Ovis aries: one gene and its partner. The protein of the gene in region 1 purifies or fractionates together with the protein of each later gene. This does not show direct contact. Links are inferred from orthologs where the notes say so. Each region holds a gene or a part of one and is shown on either strand. Other genes may lie near its edges. The genes, in order: CDAN1 and ASF1B.

What was found.
Region 2: the proteins of CDAN1 (region 1) and ASF1B purify together in Homo sapiens (co-immunoprecipitation; 5 studies listed by BioGRID and IntAct, counting the BioPlex papers as one, with this or other methods). This does not show direct contact. The link is inferred for Ovis aries from reciprocal best matches to the Homo sapiens genes CDAN1 and ASF1B.

Annotation. Positions count from the first base shown.
Region 1 is NC_056060.1:36,248,315-36,257,535, reverse strand, and holds part of CDAN1 (codanin-1), read left to right. Parts: intron 1-118; coding exon 119-606; intron 607-819; coding exon 820-1,023; intron 1,024-1,219; coding exon 1,220-1,389; intron 1,390-1,505; coding exon 1,506-1,619; intron 1,620-1,701; coding exon 1,702-1,780; intron 1,781-2,197; coding exon 2,198-2,318; intron 2,319-2,496; coding exon 2,497-2,606; intron 2,607-3,069; coding exon 3,070-3,159; intron 3,160-4,078; coding exon 4,079-4,154; intron 4,155-4,620; coding exon 4,621-4,826; intron 4,827-5,131; coding exon 5,132-5,252; intron 5,253-5,379; coding exon 5,380-5,526; intron 5,527-5,624; coding exon 5,625-5,791; intron 5,792-6,184; coding exon 6,185-6,272; intron 6,273-6,517; coding exon 6,518-6,607; intron 6,608-6,795; coding exon 6,796-6,850; intron 6,851-7,061; coding exon 7,062-7,195; intron 7,196-7,278; coding exon 7,279-7,382; intron 7,383-7,642; coding exon 7,643-7,801; intron 7,802-8,148; coding exon 8,149-8,212; and 5 more. UniProt on the Homo sapiens protein: May act as a negative regulator of ASF1 in chromatin assembly.
Region 2 is NC_056058.1:9,896,879-9,906,617, reverse strand, and holds the start of ASF1B (histone chaperone ASF1B), read right to left. Parts: upstream 5,294-9,739; 5' UTR 5,174-5,293; coding exon 5,065-5,173; intron 1-5,064. UniProt on the Homo sapiens protein: Histone chaperone that facilitates histone deposition and histone exchange and removal during nucleosome assembly and disassembly. Cooperates with chromatin assembly factor 1 (CAF-1) to promote replication-dependent chromatin assembly.

The DNA of each region.
Region 1 (9,221 bases):
AACTAGGGGCCGCTGCCCCGGCCGCCCGCCACCCTCAGCACGCCCTGCGGCCCCGGCTGCTCGCGGCCCCGGGCTGGCAGCTGACTGACTCTCTCTCCCCTCGCCGCTTCTCCCTCAGGATGACCCCAGGGAGGCGGCCGCGCTGAGCTCACTTCGGCCACTGCGGAAGGAATTCGTGCCATTCCTGCTGAACTTCCTGAGGGAACAGAGCAGCCGCGTCCTCCCGCAGGGCCCCCCAACCCCCGCCAAGGCCCCGGGCTCCTCGACAGGCTTGCCAGGGAGATCCGGGGGCCCGCCGCGGGGCGGCCGCGGAGCGCGCAACCAGCTCTTCCCTCCGATCGAGGCTTCGAGCGCCACCGCTGCTGACGCCCCTTCGGCCCGCCGTGGGGGCAGGAGGCGGGGCCCGGGGCCGGCCCGCGAGCGAGGCCGCGGCCCCGGGGGCCTGGAGGAGGGGGTCAGCGGGGAGTGCCTGCCCTGGGCCGGGGGCCGGAGGCCCAGGAGCTCTGGCAGCCCCAGCAGCCCCAGCCTCGCGCGCTCTGATCCGCCAAACCTCAGCAACCTGGAGGAGTTCCCTCCCGTGGGCTCCGTTCCCCCCGGCTCTGCAGGGTGAGAATTAGCCCTCATCTAAAATATGGCTCTGCTAGGGGAGTTAAAAAATTAAGGCTGGGTGCTCTGTAGTAGAGCGTGGTAATAACAAGAAAGTAGGGGGTGAAATATCTACGTGGTGAGGGGCATTTTGCAAGGGGTGCTAGATGTTTTGGTGGAGGGGGAGATGCTTGAAGATGGGAATTAGGAAAACCTATGGCTGCTTTTCAACAGGACCAAGCCTTCCCGCAGGATCAACCCAACTCCAGTGAGCGAAGAGCGATCACTTTCCAAGCCCAAGACTTGCTTCACCTCACCCCCAATCAGCTGTGTTCCCAGTTCCCAACCCTCAGTCCTAGACACTAGCCCTTGGGGCCATGGGATTCCCTCAGGGTGCAGAAGTCTGCAAGAGGAGCGGGAGATGCTCAGGAAGGAGCGGTATGGCTTTGCTGCTCCTGGGGATGTCAGCTTCCTTTGGGGGGTGGGATTTGCAGGGCTTTTCCCTGTGATTAATTTGTCTCCTGGGAACCCTGGGTCTGTTTCCTGGGCTGTGGACAGGTCTCTAAGGAACCTGAGTGTGGCTGTGGAGGGGAAGCCATGCTGACTGCTCATGACGTTTCTCTTTCCCCGGTAGCTCTAAGCAGCTGCAGCAGTCACCTACTCCTGCCTGTCCCACCCTAGAACCAGGATCTCCTCACCCCAGCCGGACAGGACACCTCACAGCTGAACCCGCTGACCCTACCAGAGTATCTTCCCGCCACCGTCTGGAGCTGGTTGCCCTTGTCTACTCTTCATGCATTGCAGGTGAGTGAGAACAGAGCCCTGGAATGAAGACACTTGTAGAACTACAGGGTAAAAGAATTGAACTGAGCCTTTGTTTTGACTGGCGTTCAATACCCTGGAGTTTCCTTTTTAACCAGAGAACCTGGTACCAAACCTCTTCTTGGAGCTTTTCTTCGTCCTTCAGCTCCTTACTGCCCGGAGGATGGTGGCTGCCAAAGACAGTGACCTTGAACCAACTCCGGGAGCTGTAGGTTGGTGAACAAGCCTCTTTTTGAGAAATGATGTCTGGAAATGAAATTGTTTTTAACCAACAGCTTGGTACTGTCCTTCTAGATTCCCTGGAAAGCCCTCTGTTCCAGAGTGTCCATGATTGTGTCTTCTTTGCAGTGCAGGTTTTGGAACATCAATTTCAGTAAGTTTCCCCCGCTGAGGCATTTGAACCTTATTCACATTATTCACTTGATTCTCTGGCTACTTCGGGGGCATGCTTGTGCTTGACACAGATGTAGTGACCCTAGGCCTTTTCCTACATGTAACCCTTCAGTTTCGTGTCAAAGCTATGAATTTAGCCCTTGAAAGAATCAAACTGCCCCCAGTAGTTTTGGTAGCTGACCTTTGGGTTTATTTACTGTTTCTGCTTTGCTATCATTAGCTGCTCCATAGGGTCTCGTTTCCTTTCCCTTTATCGTCTTTAATCCTTGGCGCATGACTTTTCTTTTTTTTATGTACCTGCTCTGTGCTCCAGGTAACACACTGTGCTGTGCAGATGCCAGCTGCCTATTTGCAGTCTGTCCCATTCTCAGTCATGTGTGCTCTTATCCCTGTACAGCGTTCTCTCCCACCTGGACAAAGGGACATTGAAGCTGTTGGCTGAGAATGAGCGATTACTGTGTTTCTCACCGGCTCTGCAAGGTCGCCTCCGAGCTGCCTATGAGGGCAGTGTCGCCAAGGTAGTGACCCCATCTTAGACATCTTCTAGCCTGGATCTGACCCTTCCTAGTCTCATAATCCAGGCGGCCCAGCTCACACCACTGTAGTGTCATGCGGCCTAAAACTCTGGACTAGAATATGGGGATGAAGTTTTCTGAGCGTGAACTCTGCTTTCAGTCCCTAATGTCACTGTTTTAGGTCTCTCTGGCGATGCCACCTTCTGCTCAAGCTGTCTCCTTTCAGCCAGAAACTGACAATCGTGCTAACTTCTCCAGTGACCGAGCCTTTCATACTTTCAAAAAACAGAGGTGATAAGAAAAGGGGACTCTGGGGGAGGGGATGAAGCAGCATTTTCTCCGGGATAGGCAGCCTATGTTGTTTTCATAGAAACTAGATGTTTGGCACTAACGGGTGTAGTTTAGCACCACCAGGCCCTTCCTAGCAAACATCTTAAGGGCCACTTAGCCTCATTCTCTTTCACACCCATGGACTCGCACCTCTGACAGTAGCAGCTTTCTCGCAGTGTAATGACTTTGGCCACAGGGTTCTCAGATGAGAGTGCCAGATTAGCCTTAACTGCCCACAGAAGCAAGTGAAGCATGTGGTGTACTACTGTCGGGTCTGTGGGATTATCACATAGAGAACCTTGGAGAGGATAAGCAATGGAGCTGTGAATGGTCCTGTCTACAGTTCTGAGCTAGAGAAGGCACTCCTGAGAATGAGTTAAGCCAACTGTGCTTCAGTTGATCAGACATCTTATGTGTCTGCCAGGGATGTGTTTTACGAGGTACTTCGAGAGTGGGAAGATCGCCATGAGGAGCCTGGCTGGGATTTTGAGAAGGGCTTGGGCAGCAGGATCAGGTATGTGCTCATACACTGATCACTTTTTCCTGCTTCCAGCAGTGAGCAACTTAGTGGTGTTTGGGTAACTGATTAGAGAAAGGCTTCTCTCCCCACCCCGAACTCCTTCCAGCACAAAGCTGTTTTCTGTCTTCCTTAATCTCTTAGTTACTGCCACCTCTGCCTCTACTCAAAAGGGATTTATTTCTCCAACTCCTTCTACTCAGAAATCATTTATACTTGCTCTGTGATTGCAAATGATTGATAAAGTGGAACACTCTTATTCCAGGTTGCGTGAGTTTTTGCCTGTCACTGGCTTAGACCCTTTCCAACCTCTATTTTCTCCATCATCTAATCTGACAATACAAGATAACTTTGTGTAGCTGGATAACTAGGATACAGAAAGAATATCCTCTTGTCTGGTGATCTCCCATCCACGTTGGTCATGAAGCTTACTGGCAGTCAGTGTAGACTGAAGAGGAGAAGGGTGGTCTCATTTCATGTTTGGTTAAGTGTAAGGTTAAGGGCTTCCCTGGGGGCTCAGATGGTAAAGAACCTGCCTGCAATGCAGGAGACCCAGATTCTGTCTCGGGGTCAGGAAGATCCCCTGGAGAAGGAAATGGCAACCCATTCCAGTATTCTTGCCTGGGAGATCCCAATGGACAGAGGAGCCTGGCAGGCTACAGCTCATGGGGTGGCAAAGAGTCGGACATGACTGAGCGACTGACAGTTTCAGTAAGTGTCTCTCTAGCCTTGAGGGATCTTGGTGCTAAGGAAAGTATCCTTTACCTTTTCCCATATCCTTGTGCCAGCCAGCTCTGGTAGAAGGCTGCTCAAGCCCCTGGTAGAGGGCTGAAAGTCTCAAGGATTGGCTTGTTCTCTCAGATCTTTCTCCCCCTCTTCCTCCCATAACACTCCATCCCTGCCTCTTATTCCTCAGAGCCATGATGGGTCAACTCTCTGCGGCCTGCAGCCACAGCCATTTTGTTCGACTTTTCCAGAAACAACTTCTCCAGGTAATTGCTCCAGCAGGAGATCTGTCTCCAGTGGACAGTATGTATTATAGGTGCCAAGGAATGGCTGGCACTTTGGGACAGGACAGGAGAACAGGCAGGTCCTTGGCTGAAGAGTAAACAAGAGTTCTGCTCTTCCTCTGTGGGCCCCCTCACACACCCAGCTCTCCTGGCCCTCCTTCAGTCCCTCCCTGCTTTCTTGCCCTTGCTTTGTGGTGTGGTAGAAAGAGTGCAAGGTTAGGTCTGGTTTCAAATCCTCGTGACCCTATGCAGATGTTGAATCTTAAAATTTCAGTTTCTTCACCTGTAAAAATAAGAATATAACACAGACCTCAAAAAATACATCTATGGCACACAATATAGGGTGGGCACCCCGTATTGTTCACTGCTTCCTCCTCATTTTCTTCACCCCTTCTTTCCAGAAAAACTCACTGGTTTATCAATTTCTCTCCTCCTCCCCCTGCCCCAGATGTGTCAGAGTCCTGGTGGTGCTGGGGGCACTGTCTTGGGTGAGGCTCCGGATGTGTTAAATATGCTTGGAGCTGACAAGCTGGGGCGGTTGCGGCGCCTACAGGAACGGCTTGTGGCCCCTCAGAGCAGTGGGGGCCCCTGCCCACCCCCTACCTTCCCAGGCTGTCAGGGCTTCTTCAGGGACTTCATCTTGAGTGCCAGCAGGTAAAGGTCCCCTGTCTTGCCGAGAGTGGGGGAAGAGGCCTGAAAAAGAGGTTTGTGTTCCCAGAAGGGCAAGAGTTTGCTCTTCTTGGCCTGGAATGTCAGTGGGTGGGACTGGGGGATGCCCAGCCTCCTTCTAACCCACACTTCCTGCTTCCATTTCCCTTCTCACTCTCTCACCTATGAAGGTAAACTCCTTGTTCCTTGACCTCCTGTGTCTGCCCTACTGAGCCTTTCTGTCTGGAACACCACCTCTATTATCCTTCCTGCACCTCTTCCAGTACCTTTTTTCCCCCTTCCCTTCATAGCTTCCAGTTTAATCAGCATCTCATGGATAGTCTGAGTTTGAAGATCCGAGAACTCAACAGCCTCGCCCTTCCTCAGCCTGAGCCTAGTGATGAGGATGGGGAGTCAGACGTGGACTGGCAGGTTAGAAAGCAGAAGAAAGGAGGCTTTGCTTTAGAGGGGAAAGGATATTTTCAAGAAGTCTGTAACAGATGTGGTTTTGTTCTAGAAGCCTAATGCTTAGGACCTCTTACTTCTTGATGGCCTGCAGGGTGAACGGAGGCAGTTTGCTGTGGTGCTGCTCAGCCTAAGGCTTCTGGCCAAATTCTTGGGCTTTGTCGCTTTCCTGCCATACCGTGGGCCTGAACCACCCCCGACCCGTGAGCTCCAGGACTCCATTCTGTCCCTGAGGAGCCAGGTGAATGGGGGCGCTGGTAAGGAGGGAGCTGGGAGGAGCCGCATGGCAATGGCGTTAGAAGGCTTTCCCCAGCCCCTGACTGACCCTGGCCCTCCCAGGTGCCCCCAGTCCTGGACGTGCGAGCTCTGCTGCAGCAGGGGCTGCGGGCACGCCGAGCAGTGCTCACAGTGCCCTGGCTGGTGGAGTTCCTTTCTCTTGCTGACCACATTGTCCCCATGCTGGACTATTACCGCAGCATCTTCACTCTCCTGCTGCACCTGCATCGGTGAGTCAAGAGAGGGCAAGGCTTGAGAAAAGGGTGCAGGGAGAATGTTGTTGAGACTGCTGCTTTTTGAAGAGGGCCAAGCAGCTTGTGCTTCCTGTGTGCTTCCATAGCTATAGCTGACCCTCAGGGGAAAGGCCAGGCCTTGATCCACAAGGACAGACAGTGGGCAGTTATTTGCACTTTGATTGGCCCTTTTCTGTTCCTACTGTGGCCGAGCTAAGAGTGAGTACAGGTCTGGGAGAGGTGATGAGACATGGCTGCCTACACAACAGCAGTCCCTTTTAGGTCTCCTTTTGAGAATCACCTTCCCAGTGATAGCTTTTTTTTTTTTTTTAACTCCATTCCATTTCTCTCATTGCACAGATTCCACTCACACCCTCATTTACCTTTTAGGAGCTTGGTCTTATCAAAGGAAAGTGAAGGGGAGATGTGTTTCCTGAACAAGCTGTTGCTGCTTGCTGTCCTAGGCTGGCTTTTCCAGGTTGGTGGAATGAGGGTCCAGGTTGGGGAAAGGCGGTATGACTTCTGTGGCTGGAAATGGGCAAAGGGAAAGTGTAGGACTCTGACAGAGAGCGGGACCAGACGCTAAAGGCTCAGAGGAGGAAAGATGGGGTTGCCATAGAGGAAGGTGGCTTTGAACCTGGTTGTCTAAACCCTGGAACCATGAAGTTGGAGGTGTGATGAATCCCTAAAGTGCTGGCTGGCACTCCCCTAATCTTTTGCCAGATTCCCACAGTCCCTGAGGACCTATTCTTTCTGGAAGAGGGTCAGTTGGATGTCTTTGAGGTGGACACAGTAGCCTCAGAGCATGGCTTGGTAAGTATTGGGGTCCAGCCAGAGCCATGGGAACCACAAGAGTAAAGGAGGTAGCCTGCCTGTCAGCGGGCCCAGAAACACAAGCCAGAATAGAGGCTGAAGTCTCACGTAATTCTCTAACCCGACCGCCCCATTTCTGGGAGGAAGGGAAGCTTCCCTTCCGCAAACTGACCTGTTGTCTCCCGCAGGACAGCATGCCTGTGGTGGACCAGCAGCTGCTCTACACTTGCTGCCCTTATATTGGTGAGGATACTCTTCCCCAAGGGTCCTTGGTCCTTGGCCTGCCCCTTCATGAGTACCCAAAATGCATCCCATGGGCCCAGCACCCTCGTACTTTGTTTTGTGCTTAGGCGCTCCCTGATGCCTCGTTCTGTCTATTCCACAAATGCTTAGTCTGGATGCTTGGGAGGGTGGGACAGTTCTGGAACTAAGCACATGGGCTTCTCTGATGCAGGAGAGCTCCGCAAACTGCTCGCTTCATGGGTGTCAGGCAGCAGTGGAAGGAGTGGGGGCCTCGTCAGGAAAATCACCCCCACCACCACCACGGGCCTGGGAGCCCAGCCTCCCCAGACCACACAGGGGCTGCAGGTAAGGGGCAGGGTGGAAGCAAGGGCCACCTCATGGGTAAGGGAAAGGGAGCCCTTGCCTGCACTGCTCCCTCCTCCCCACAGGCACAGCTGGCCCAAGCCTTTTTCCACAACCAGCCGCCCTCCCTGCGCAGGACTGTGGAGTTCGTGGCAGAGAGAATTGGTTCTAACTGTGTCAAGCATATCAAGTGAGTCTGAATTGAGGGGGTTGGGAATGAAGGTGTTGCAGGTCCCAGGCTCATTTCCTTATCCTTTTCCCCCTTTTAACACCTTGTTGCCAAACTGAGGAAAGTCAGCTGAGGGGTGGGGACAGGGGCCCAGTGGGATGGGGAAGGCTGAAATGGCTAACATTCTTTCAAGTTAGTTCTGACCTGGTTTGCTTGAATTTGCAGCCCCTTTCCAATTCAGCCTTTCCAACTACCTCAAAATCTTGCTGTTCCTGCTGCAGGGCCACGCTGGTGGCAGAGCTGGTGCGCCAGGCAGAGTCGCTTCTTCAAGAGCAGCTGGTGACCCAGGGACAGGAAGGAGGCGATCCAGCCCAGCTGTTGGAGATCTTGTGTTCCCAGCTGTGCCCTCACGGGGCCCAGGCGCTGACCCAGGGGCGGGAGTAAGATGCCAGTCTGTTGGGATCCTCTCATCTCCACTCTGCTCTTAGCCTTTCCTTTCCTGTCCTTTTTTTTCTTATATTGTTTATTCCATGTCTTCTCCCACCCTGCTTTTGTCATTCTATTTTTGCCTGCTCTGTAGGCTCTTATCTTGGTTTTTAGAGGTTTAAGGACCCAAGTTTAGAGTCGAATTGGAAAGGCATGTGGTTGGGTGTCCAATCTCCTGGCATCTGGGCCAGAGAGCTGAGCATGCCCTCCCCTGTGGCAGAGCTCTCCCAGCTCAGGGAGTTGGTGCACTCAGGGACCCAGCTGATGTCTCAAGACATCACTGACCTCTGTCTCCTTTCAGGTTCTGCCAAAAGAAGAGCCCAGGTGCCGTGAGGGCACTGCTTCCTGAGGAGACTCCGGCAGCCGTACGTAGGAAGTAGTCCTGGGGTGGTGGGCTGGGCTGGTGGGAGAGCAGTGCTGTGGGGCTGTGTGTGTCAACATGCACATGAGGTGGTGGGCGGGCCAGTCTTGGACTTGGGCATTCACCACTGTCCTAACTTGCCCCTGACTCAAAACTACTTCTGTGTCACAGGTTCTAAGCAGTGCAGAGAACATTGCTGTGAGCCTCGCAACAGAGAAAGCCTGTGCATGGTTGTCAGCCAACATCACAGGTAAGGTCCAGGGAAGGGGAGTAACTGACCAAGTTTTTCGAGTGGACTGGCAGGAAGTTGGAGGCCACTTGGGGGAAGACAGGACTCAGGGCCAGTTGGCAACAGGGAAGGGCAGGGGTTGGCATGGTGAGCCTATGCAGGGCTGCTTTGGTGACTCTTCTCTGTCCTCCCTCTGACTTGCAGCACTGATCAGAAGGGAGGTGAAAGCGGCCGTGAGTCGCACGCTTCGCGCCCAGGGTCCTGAGCCAGCTGCCCGGGGGGAGCGGAGGGGCTGCTCCCGTGCCTGTGAGCACCATGCTCCCCTCCCCTCCCACCTCATCTCCGAGATAAAAGTACACAGCTCCCTACTCCCTTCGGCTCCCCTCCTCCTGCTCCCTGCTCTTTTCCTAGTTGCCCTTCTTTCTTCCTCAGCTCCAGTATTTGTGTAGCAGCTTTCTGTGTTGTCCAGCTAGTTTCCATTTTGTTAACTGAATGGAGTTAGGCAGGGCTAAATGGAATTGAATGGTTTTAGTAATTGCTTTTCTCTGACTTTTGTACTTGAATCACCCAAAAGGGTAAAAGGGAAGAGGGTAGATGTGAAAATTGTTGACTGAGTACATGGTACATAGATGATATCGGGAGTGGAGTAGGGAATGGCTATCTAGTGCAGTAGGAAAGTTCTAAGGAACAGTCATCCCAGTATTGGGACAGTATTTCAGAAACACTCTCCTATGTGGGAGATGATGCTTGTTTGGTTACAGGCAGTAAGAATAATCTATCAGTG
Region 2 (9,739 bases), on another chromosome or scaffold:
AGTCAGACATGAGCAACTGAGCACTTGTCTACAAGGGCCTGAGAAATCTCCCCCCGACTGTCATTTCAATTTTCCCAGAGGTGTTTGTGGAGGCGGGGAATGGCCTCTCATAATCCTTAGACCCCTGTTCCTTATTAATCTTATCATGTCCTAAATCTAATTTGAACCGTGGCAGTCCCTTTTTTAACTTTTATTTTTGGCTTTGCCATACAGCACGTGGGATCTTAGTTCCCCAACCGAGGATTGAACCCTGAGCCCCCCCGCATTGGAAGCTTGGCATCTCAGCCACTGGACCACCGGGGAAGTCGCAGGGCACCCAACTTCGGAAGCACAGCAATGCCGGGCCACAACTATGGGGGCCTGTCACCTGAGCTCCACGCCCTTCCTCGATACGCTGGTTTCCTGCCCTTTCACAGCTGACACCCGGCCTTCTACTCAGGGACCTTATCAGGTCTACAGGATGTGGGTGGCCATTGGACTGAACTGGGCTTCAGTCAAAGCCCATTCTCTTACTTGCAGGAAGGAGTTAAGCTTACTGATTTATTTTTGCTACAAGTAGTGACACAACCCAAAATAACACGTTTTTGGATGAACAGAAAACAAGCTAGCCCTGTTCTCACCTTTCTGACACAGTTCTATCATCTGGTGTCTTTCCTTCTGGCCGCCTTCCCCATCATCAGTGGAGTCACATATGTGCGCACTTAACTAACGTGTTGCATTATGTGCTCAGTGGCTAAGCTGTGTCCGACTCTTGTGACCCCATGGACTGTAGCCCTCCAGGCTCCTCTGTCTGTGGAATTCTCCAGGCAAGAATACTGGAGTGGGTTGCCATTTCCTCCTCCAGGAGATCTTCCCAACCCAGGATCAAACCCGAGTCTCCTGCATTGGCAGGCAGATTCCTTTACCACTGAGCCACCTGGGAAGCATGACTAACGTGCTGAGGGTGGATACAAAAGGGAAATTTTAATAGAATAGGGCCTAGTGTATGCGACTGGCACTCAGTTTTCAACGCTGTTGACAACGGAGTTCCCTGGTTGCCTAGTGGTTAGGATTTCCGTCTTCCACTGCTGTGGCCTGGTTGTCAGGGAACTGAGATCCCAAATTTGGCACGGAATGGCCCAAACCCAAAAACACCTGTTGGCAAAACCTAAACAAGCCTGTGTGGGTGCAGACTGGAAGAGAGAAACGCAGGTGGTCAGGCGAATGGGTTGAAGTGGTTCCCAGTACTCAGGTCAGAAAGAAACCAGAGAATTAACCAAGGCCGACAATACTCACTCAGGAATTAAGGAGCTGAGGGACTTCCCTGGTGGTCCAGTGGCTAAGATTCCGAGCTCCCAATGCAGCGGGCCCAGGTTCAATCCCTGGTTGGGGAACTAGACCCCACATGCTGCTAATAAGAGTTCGCATGTCACAACTAAAGAGATTCCGCATACTGTGACTAAGACTCGGGGCAGTCAAATAAATAAATAAATATTAAAAAAAAATAAGTTAAAGAGTTTATAAAATCATCTATGGAAGATGGAAGATGACTAAAACAAGGACTCTTAAGCAGAGGCATCCTGAAATGACTTCACTTTTTTGAATGAGCTGTGAGGACGTCAATCACAAACAGCACAAATTCATTCCTGCTGAATATGAATTAAGGTCGCACATGTGTAACGTATGCCTAGCCTTCTAAGTAATTCCAAGGGTAAATGGATTCCATTGTTTTGACTTTATGCCTTAACTTTATCATCTAACCACTGCACAAAATGCTCCTCCACTATGTATGAAAACAAAATCCAGACCAACGGTATGATGAAAAACATAAAAAAAATTACGGTAGTTGAACTAGCAGGAGAATCTGTTTCCTGTCCCCCCCAAAACACAAACAGGACTACCCTGGTGGCACGGTAGATAAGACTCCACCTGTAATGCAGGAGACACAGGCTCCATCCCTGGTCCAGGATGATCCCAACAGGTCTCAGGGTAACCAACTCCATGCGCCGCAACCACTGAGCCCGTGTGCCACAGCTACTGAAGTCTGCTCATCCTAGGGCCCAGGCTCCACAACAAGAGAAGCCTCCTGCAATGAGACACCCAAGCACCATGACGAAGAGTAGCTCCTGCTCCCAACTAGAGAAAGCCCAAGTGCAGCAATGAAGACCCATCGTAGCCACACACACACAAGTCCCAAACAATCAAAAAAACAACAAAACAACCCCAACCCCAACAACTTATCTAGTATGCCTTTTTCTGTTTATCACTTTCCCTTTGTTCATAATACAGTTGAACCTTGGCCTGACCACAGCGTGTTCGGTGTAGGTCAGAAAATCTGGCTCTAAGACTTGTTCAGGCAGTATCTCATGAATCTCTCAACTAAACTGGGGGAAAACACACCCAATGTATTGAATACAGACCCAGGCCTTGGACGCATCTATTTCCACATGCTGCTGAGCGGGGAGAGGGAGAGAGAGTTAAAACATTTCAGAGCCCTTGAGAAATGGCTCAGAGTTGGGGCTGGGTGTTCAGATCTTCAGTTACCAGGTAATAAGGCTGACTGAGAATTTCTCCAGAATCTAAGAGACTTCTAAAGCCAGGCCTACTCCATTTGTTTGGGAGGCAGGAGACAAATCCTTTCTGCTCTGTGGGAAGAGGCAGAAAGCATGTTGACAGGTCAGAGTGAAGCACAGCCCTACAGGTACAACCAGAGAGTGTAGACTTCCAGGCCAGAGTTGGCTTTCCAACTGGAATTCTTCTGAGCAAAAGCTTTATTGTTCAGGTATAATTAATAATAAGACCCTGTTGCCCTCTTCTGTCCTGTTTATGTCTCACTTCTAAAATAGTGGGTGCATTCTTTTCCAGTTTATAGCAAAGATAAAGAACCCTGGACTCAGAACTCAGAAACAAGACCTAGTTGTGAATAATTCTACACACCAGCTGTGTGACCTTGGAAAAATCATTTTGTTTCCATTAGAAAAATAATGACCTTGGGGAAAGAAAGAACTGTCTTTAGGGATTTCCCTGGTGGTCCAGTGGTTAAGAATCCACCTGCCAAAGCAGGGGACATGGGTTTGATCCCTGGTCCGGGAAGACCTTACATGCTGTGGAGCAACTACTCCCGAGCGCTCCAATTACTGAAGCCTGCTCACCTAGAGCCTGTGCCCCTCAACAAGAGAAGCCACCGCAGCAAGAAGTCCAATGCACCACAACGAAGAGTAGTCACTGCTCACCCCAACTAGAGAAAGCCTGAGCAAAGCACCGAAGATCTAGCTCAGCCAAAAATAAATAAATCTTAAACAAAATATAACACAAATAAAAAACAATGACCAGCAGGTTGACTTTAGACTCTCCTGATTCTATAAACAGATTAATAAAGTAACAGGGCAGTAGCTTTGCAGGAATGAAAGTACTAGATAATGACCATGCAACCATTTTTAAATGCCAGGAGCTCAAACAGGCTGATTGAAACCCGATCTCCTGCCATCTGGGAACTATGAATCCCTTGAACTATTAGCTCCTTACATCTCCTGGCTTTAAAATTAAATCTTATTCCACAGGGTCATTCTACACTTTATTTATTTATTTACACCCCGCCTTGTTCCAGAAAGGATTTAACTGGGCATATTCTATAGTTAGTCATAAGTAGAATGACTCCTTGATTTAAAAACGAGAGAAAGCAGGGAGTGATCCAATGGCCCCACCCAAGCACACATCAAAACTCTTCAACCCCATGTTAGTTGGAGAAGCCCATTTGTAGGCAAACCACCCACCAACCACTGAGAACGACTAGTTTAGCACACCCTTGCCTTCCAGATCTCTACCTCCTTAGAGGCTGCCTCTTCTCTTCTAACCACCAAGTAGAGAAGACATCTAATGGAAGTACTTCCTCCTGAAAGTGGTGCCAAGACTCGCTGAACAACCTTAGCCTTTCTGGTTTTTATAGGCCTTTACTTGAAAGGTCTTTTACTCTGTCTCCCGCCTTCTCATCTGTGAGATGAGAGCCATGTCCGCCTTTTGTCACAGGGATGAATAAGCACATCTGTGAAAGCACCTTGGAAAAGGTGCACAAAAGGCTGTGACCTCCCAGATTGAAGCCAAACATCACCATGGCTCGGCCTGGCACACCCACCCCACACCGCGCAAGTCGAGGTCAGGCCATCAAAAGTGTTGCAAGCTTTGCTGCAGTGGGTCAGCAGGAATCCAGCAGGCCAACAGCAGGAACCAGCTAACGTGTGCCTGGCCATGCCACTCCTCAGATCTGAGTGTGTTCATTGAAGCCCACAGTCAGGGAAGAGGAAGGAAGAGGAGCTGGGGAGACCAGATCATCCTCAAACACTGGAGCAGGAAGCCAGGTCATGCCTCTCTTGAGGAAGTAGAGGGTTGGGGCCAGACTAAGGAGGGAAGCCAGTTTCTAGGGTATGTGTTTTGAGGTAGGAAACAAGCTGAAGGGGGGTAGGGTGGGGTTAAGTATCAGCAGGTAGGGGATATTATGGGGAGACAAATGGGGAGATAAGGATGTGTGAGGTCTTGCCAGAGGGCGAGGATCTTCACAGGGAAAATGAGGGAGGAGGCTGCGGTTTTCATATGGGACACGGGAGGGGGCTAGAGCTTACATCTCCACAGGAAAAGAGTGAGGTGGAAGTGTCTCACCACAGGGGAGAGGGGATTGGTGGGGGAGGATTGGGTGGCTGGAATGGTAGTCTGTCCATACAGAAACAGAAGATGGGGGGTTTCTTGCTACAAGGAAGATGGGAAGGCTGAGGGTCTCTGCAGGTTAAAGAACTGAGGCTGAGGTCTCTACACAGAAAACAGATGCTCAGGAGGAACGCCCAGGAGAAAGAGGAGGATGAAGTGGTCTCCATGAGGGGAAAAGAGGAGTAACCATGGGGGTGGGGTGCGGTGGGTAGTCTCCAAGGGGCGGGGTTGGGGCTGGTGGGCGGGCTTTGGTTCAAGGGAGATCGCGGTTGGGGGAGGGGGAGGGGGAGAGGAAGTGTGTTTGGCAGGGTTGGCCTCGGGGTTGTCTGCAAAGGGAGGTCGGGGTTAGCTCAGGGGAGTGGGGTCTCCACAAGGGCCCAATCTCACCGTCTGCCAGGGCCTCATTGCACTCAAAGCTGATCTCGAACCGGAAAGGGCTGTGGAAAGGGCTCGGATTCTCCAGCACCGCCACGTTCAATACTGACACTTTAGCCATCGCCTCGTCGGGTCACGGCTGAGGCCAGAGCTGGGGCCGAGCCCGCGCCTGGGTCCTGTCGGGTCAGCGGCGAAGCTCTGCCCAAACCCGCTCCCGCCTCCTCTGACCGCGATCTGAAGTGCGTATCTAGTCCGCGCGCCTCCTTCAAATAGCCGGCTCTCACCCTACGGCCAATCACCGTCAACGCTCCACGACTGCGCGAGTGCTTCCTCAGCCAATCCTGGAGCGCCGGTCGGCGCGCGCCGAGACTCCCGAGACCAATCCGTGGAGCTCCATCTCAGGGATGAGCGAGGGAGGCGGGACCGTCTCTAGGCTTCTTTGGTGTCCGCGGGGAACCAATCCCCAGAGTCTCCGACTCGGACGTCCAGGGAGGGGTGGGCGGGGTCAGAGCGCCTGGCTCTTCTTGGCCAATCCCTAGGGTCCCCGCACCAGCGTGGTCCGCGATTAGCCCCGCCTTTCCGGGAGACTCTTCCAGCTGGGGGCAGCGCAGTCAACCGCCGAGTGGTGGCGCACAGCGCTCGCTTAAGCGGGAAGGAAGGGACGTGCTGGACTTGCAGTGATTGGCAGGCAGAAATGGGGCGGAGATAAAGCAGGTTTCCTGAGAGGTGATTGGCTGAGTTGGCTGCGGGGGCGGGAGAAGAGAAGACGCGGCCGGGGATTCGTGGAAGTGGAGCGGAAGTCGGCCGCTGACGCGGTTGAGCAGAGTGTGAAGAGAAAGGAGCAGCGTTTGCGGCATCGGCATCTGTCAGCAGGTGAGCGTTGCCGGAAGTTTCTCTAAGGGGCTCCTGGCCCCGCAGACCCGGCAGGCTGGGCGTCCGTTGTGAACGTTGTGAACGTTTAACTCACCCTTGAGCGCAGACGGTGCCGCGCTAACGCGGCGCTCTGGGGCCCGGGACCCGGTAGTCGGGCCTGGTTCGAATCAGGTTCTTACTTGAGAGCCCCTGGGGAGGTTTCAGGTGGACGGCGCTGAATGGGATTTCGAATCCGGCCTCTGCCACGCACCACCCGAGGCCTCATTTCCCTGCTCATTGAACGGGGTGATGAAATTTTACTGGCCTGACTTATGACTACATAATACATCTAGAAACTTCTTTCCACTCCCAGGCGTAGGCGGGACCACCGTCGCCCCCTGTCTGGAAGACTCGAGGGGCCGCCGCATTCCTTTAGTCCGCTTCCACGGGCGTCAACAAACCTAATCTTAAACTTTTCTATAGTAGCCACGTTACATATATATATATAAATATATTAAACTTAATGTAGTATAGCCAGAATATCATTTCAACATGTGATCGGTATTAAAAAAAAACAAACACGAACCTGAGGTATCTTTATTTTGTTACCTAGTACTAACGGTTTGAAAACCTGTGTATTTTACACGTTACACCACAGCTGTGATCCGGACGCTAGGTTTTCACCGGAAATAGTTGAGGTTTCATAAAATTTACAGTTGAAATGGAGATTCACATGCCCAAGTGTTTCCCAACATACGTTAAAATTTCCCATGAACTCAATCTCATGTCGGTGATAAATTGAAATATTAATTAATGAAAGTTAAGCGACGTGGAATGTTCTGTTTCACAGTGGCACTAGCCACACTGAGGTGCTTGTCATCCCCTGTGGCTTCCGATATTGGATAGCCAAAACCAACTTCAGCCAAACTGACCTTTTTGTTTCATAAAATCTGACATGACACCCCCCACCTCTTTTCTGGTGCCTCCTTGTTATTCAAGTCTCTGCTCAAATTTCTTCGGAGAATCCAAGAGCCCCCTGGACAACATTCAAATTCGTGGAACATAAGCCTGAACGGTACATTTCAAGCCACTAGGATTTCTTATCCATCCACCTCTGTGGCCTCGTGATGCTCAGAATATTCTCTCTCTTTTTTTTTTTTTTTTTTTGTATCTCCATCTCAAGTAGGATTGAAAGGATTCTTCCCCTCATTGAAACGATTTGGCTGCAAGAAAATTCCCATTATGATTGGCTCTGGGTTCTTGGCAGTCATTGGGCATCCTTAGGAATTTTTGTGACTTGAGAAGGTCAAATTTTCAAATTATTTCCAAATGTAATTCAATTGCTTATGCATATGAACTTTGATGAAGTTGTTATATTTTGTTTTCTAGATATTAAACATTTTACTCATTACAACTTTGTAGTTTTCTTTCTGCATTGTGGAACTTTTTTTCTTTCATTCTCAGCCCCAACCTTTTCATAGCCCCTGAAAAGTTCATCAGTCACAAGTATTATGTCTCTGTCTATAATGCCTTCTCCCTACAGCTGGCTGAATAATCTTCAGTTGTAAACTAGATCATGTCATTACTCTGCTTAAAACCTTCAAAGGCTTATCATACTTAGGATGAAACTTAAGATCTTCACTGTGGCTTAGGAGGCCCTGCACAGTGGCCTCAACTGACCTCATCTGCCAGTCTCCCTCTTGTCACCACTCCCAAGCCCTCCTGGCTTTATTTCCTGTCTTTCAACACACCAAACTTGATTCCTGCTGCCTGGCTTTGCAGTTGCTCTTCCCTCTGCCTGGAACGTGCTTCCTTTAGCTAATTGCTTGTCTGTCTCATTCTCATCATATATGGTTCACCCCAGATGTCTCTCCAAAAGAAGCCTTCTTGGACCATCCTAGTTAAAGTAGACCTTCATTTATCACAAAAGCCTGCTTATTAGGAGCACTTGCTAGAATCTGTAGATATGTTTTTTTTTTTTTGCTCCGCTGCATGGCTTGCGGAATCTCAGTTCCCTGACTGGGGATTGAACCTGGGCCACAGCAGTGAAAGCCTCAAATGCTAACCGCTAGAACACCAGGGAACTCTTGTCGTCCCTCAGTAGACTGAAAGCTGGTTGAGGACAGTGATCCCACCTGTCTCATACAGACCTCTCAGTTAGGACCTCACATGTAGAAAGTTTTCAGTAGATTGTTTTTAAAAAAGAGTAAATCCTTATAAAGGGCTTACATGGTACCTGGAATGTGAAAACTACTTCATAAACAAGAAACAGCAGTGCATAGCCATCATTTTTCTTACGTAGTATTTCAGGTGTACTCACTCAGAAGAAGAAATGCTATAACAAAGTACATTTTTACTCCTTACCCAGCTTAAGAAGTGAAACATTAGTGATGCAATTGAAAGGCCGTATATATCCCTGCCTCAAACCTATTCCTCCCCTCTTTTCAGATGTAACTACAATCTTGGATTTAGTGTTTATCTTTCTGTACATGCTTGTATATCTTTGATAGGTGTCTTCGAACTATATATAGTATTGTATGTCACGTTCTACAACTTTATGGAAATGCTGCTGCTGCAAAGTCTGGAGAAAACCAGGCAGAAGCTTCCACAAGTCCTTTCCTGGTGAAGTCACATGGGACTCCCTGAGTTCCCACAGCAGAGCTGTGACACCACGTGTGACATGTCTACCGGGAAAGCTCGGCACCTAGGGTAGCTGGGGCGGGAGGGGGCTGATCAAGTTTCAGACTTCCAGACTCCAGAAGGAAAGCAGGTGTTGGACCCAAACCGCATTGTACAGTTTAGGCACCGCGAGCCACTTGTGTCATTTAGGGAATGGTGGGAACTCTCCATTCACTTCAGTCACTTCACTCTTGTCCGTCTCTGCGACGCTATGGACTGTAGCCCCCCAGGCTCCTCTGTTCACGGGATTCCCCAGGCAAGAATATTAGAGTGGGTTGCCATGCCCGCCTCCAAGGGATCTTCCTGACCCAGGGATCAAACCTGCGTCTCCTGCACTGGCAGGCAGAGTTCTTTACCACTAGCATCACCTGGGAAGCCCTGCAGAAGATACCTGTGCGCAAAAGAGTTAACTGTATCAGGCCTGAGACCACTGTCCTTAGAAAGGCCTATTTGCAAGGTTGGCCCCGGCTGGTGTATAGGAACTTGGATTTCAGGAGAGTTCCCACCATTCCCTAAATGATACAAGTGGCTTGCGGTGCCTAAACTGTACAAACAATGTGATTTAGGTCCAACACCTGCTTTCCTTCTGGAGTCTGGAAGTTTGAAACTTGATCAGCCCCCTCCTGCCCCAGCTACCCTAGGTGCCGAGCTTTCCCGGTAGGCATGTCACACGTGTTGCCACAGCTCTGCTGTGGGAACTCAGGGAGTCCCATGTGACTTCACCAGGAAAGGACTTGTGGAAGCTTCTGCCTGGTTTTCTCCAGACTTTGCCCCATGCTCCTTTTCTCTTGGCTGATTTTGCTTTGTGTCCTTTCACAGTAAGAAATCATACCATGGGAAATTCCCTGGCAGTCCAGTCATTAGGACTCCGTGGTTCCATGGCAGAGGGCATGGTTTCAGTTCCTGGTCAGGGAACCAAAAACAAAAACCCAAACAGAATCATACCTTGAGTAGGCTAGATGCTGAATTCTATGAATCCTCTTCATGAATCATAGAAGCTAGGGGTTATCTTAGATTCCCAAAGCAGTGCCATACCAGACATACCCCATCAGGGCTGGCATTAAGGGGAGGAAAAGCAAGGGCACAACATTTAAGGAGACATACCCTCCAAGTCACACAAGTGCCAACCTGTGCTTGCATAACTCTGAAGGCAAGT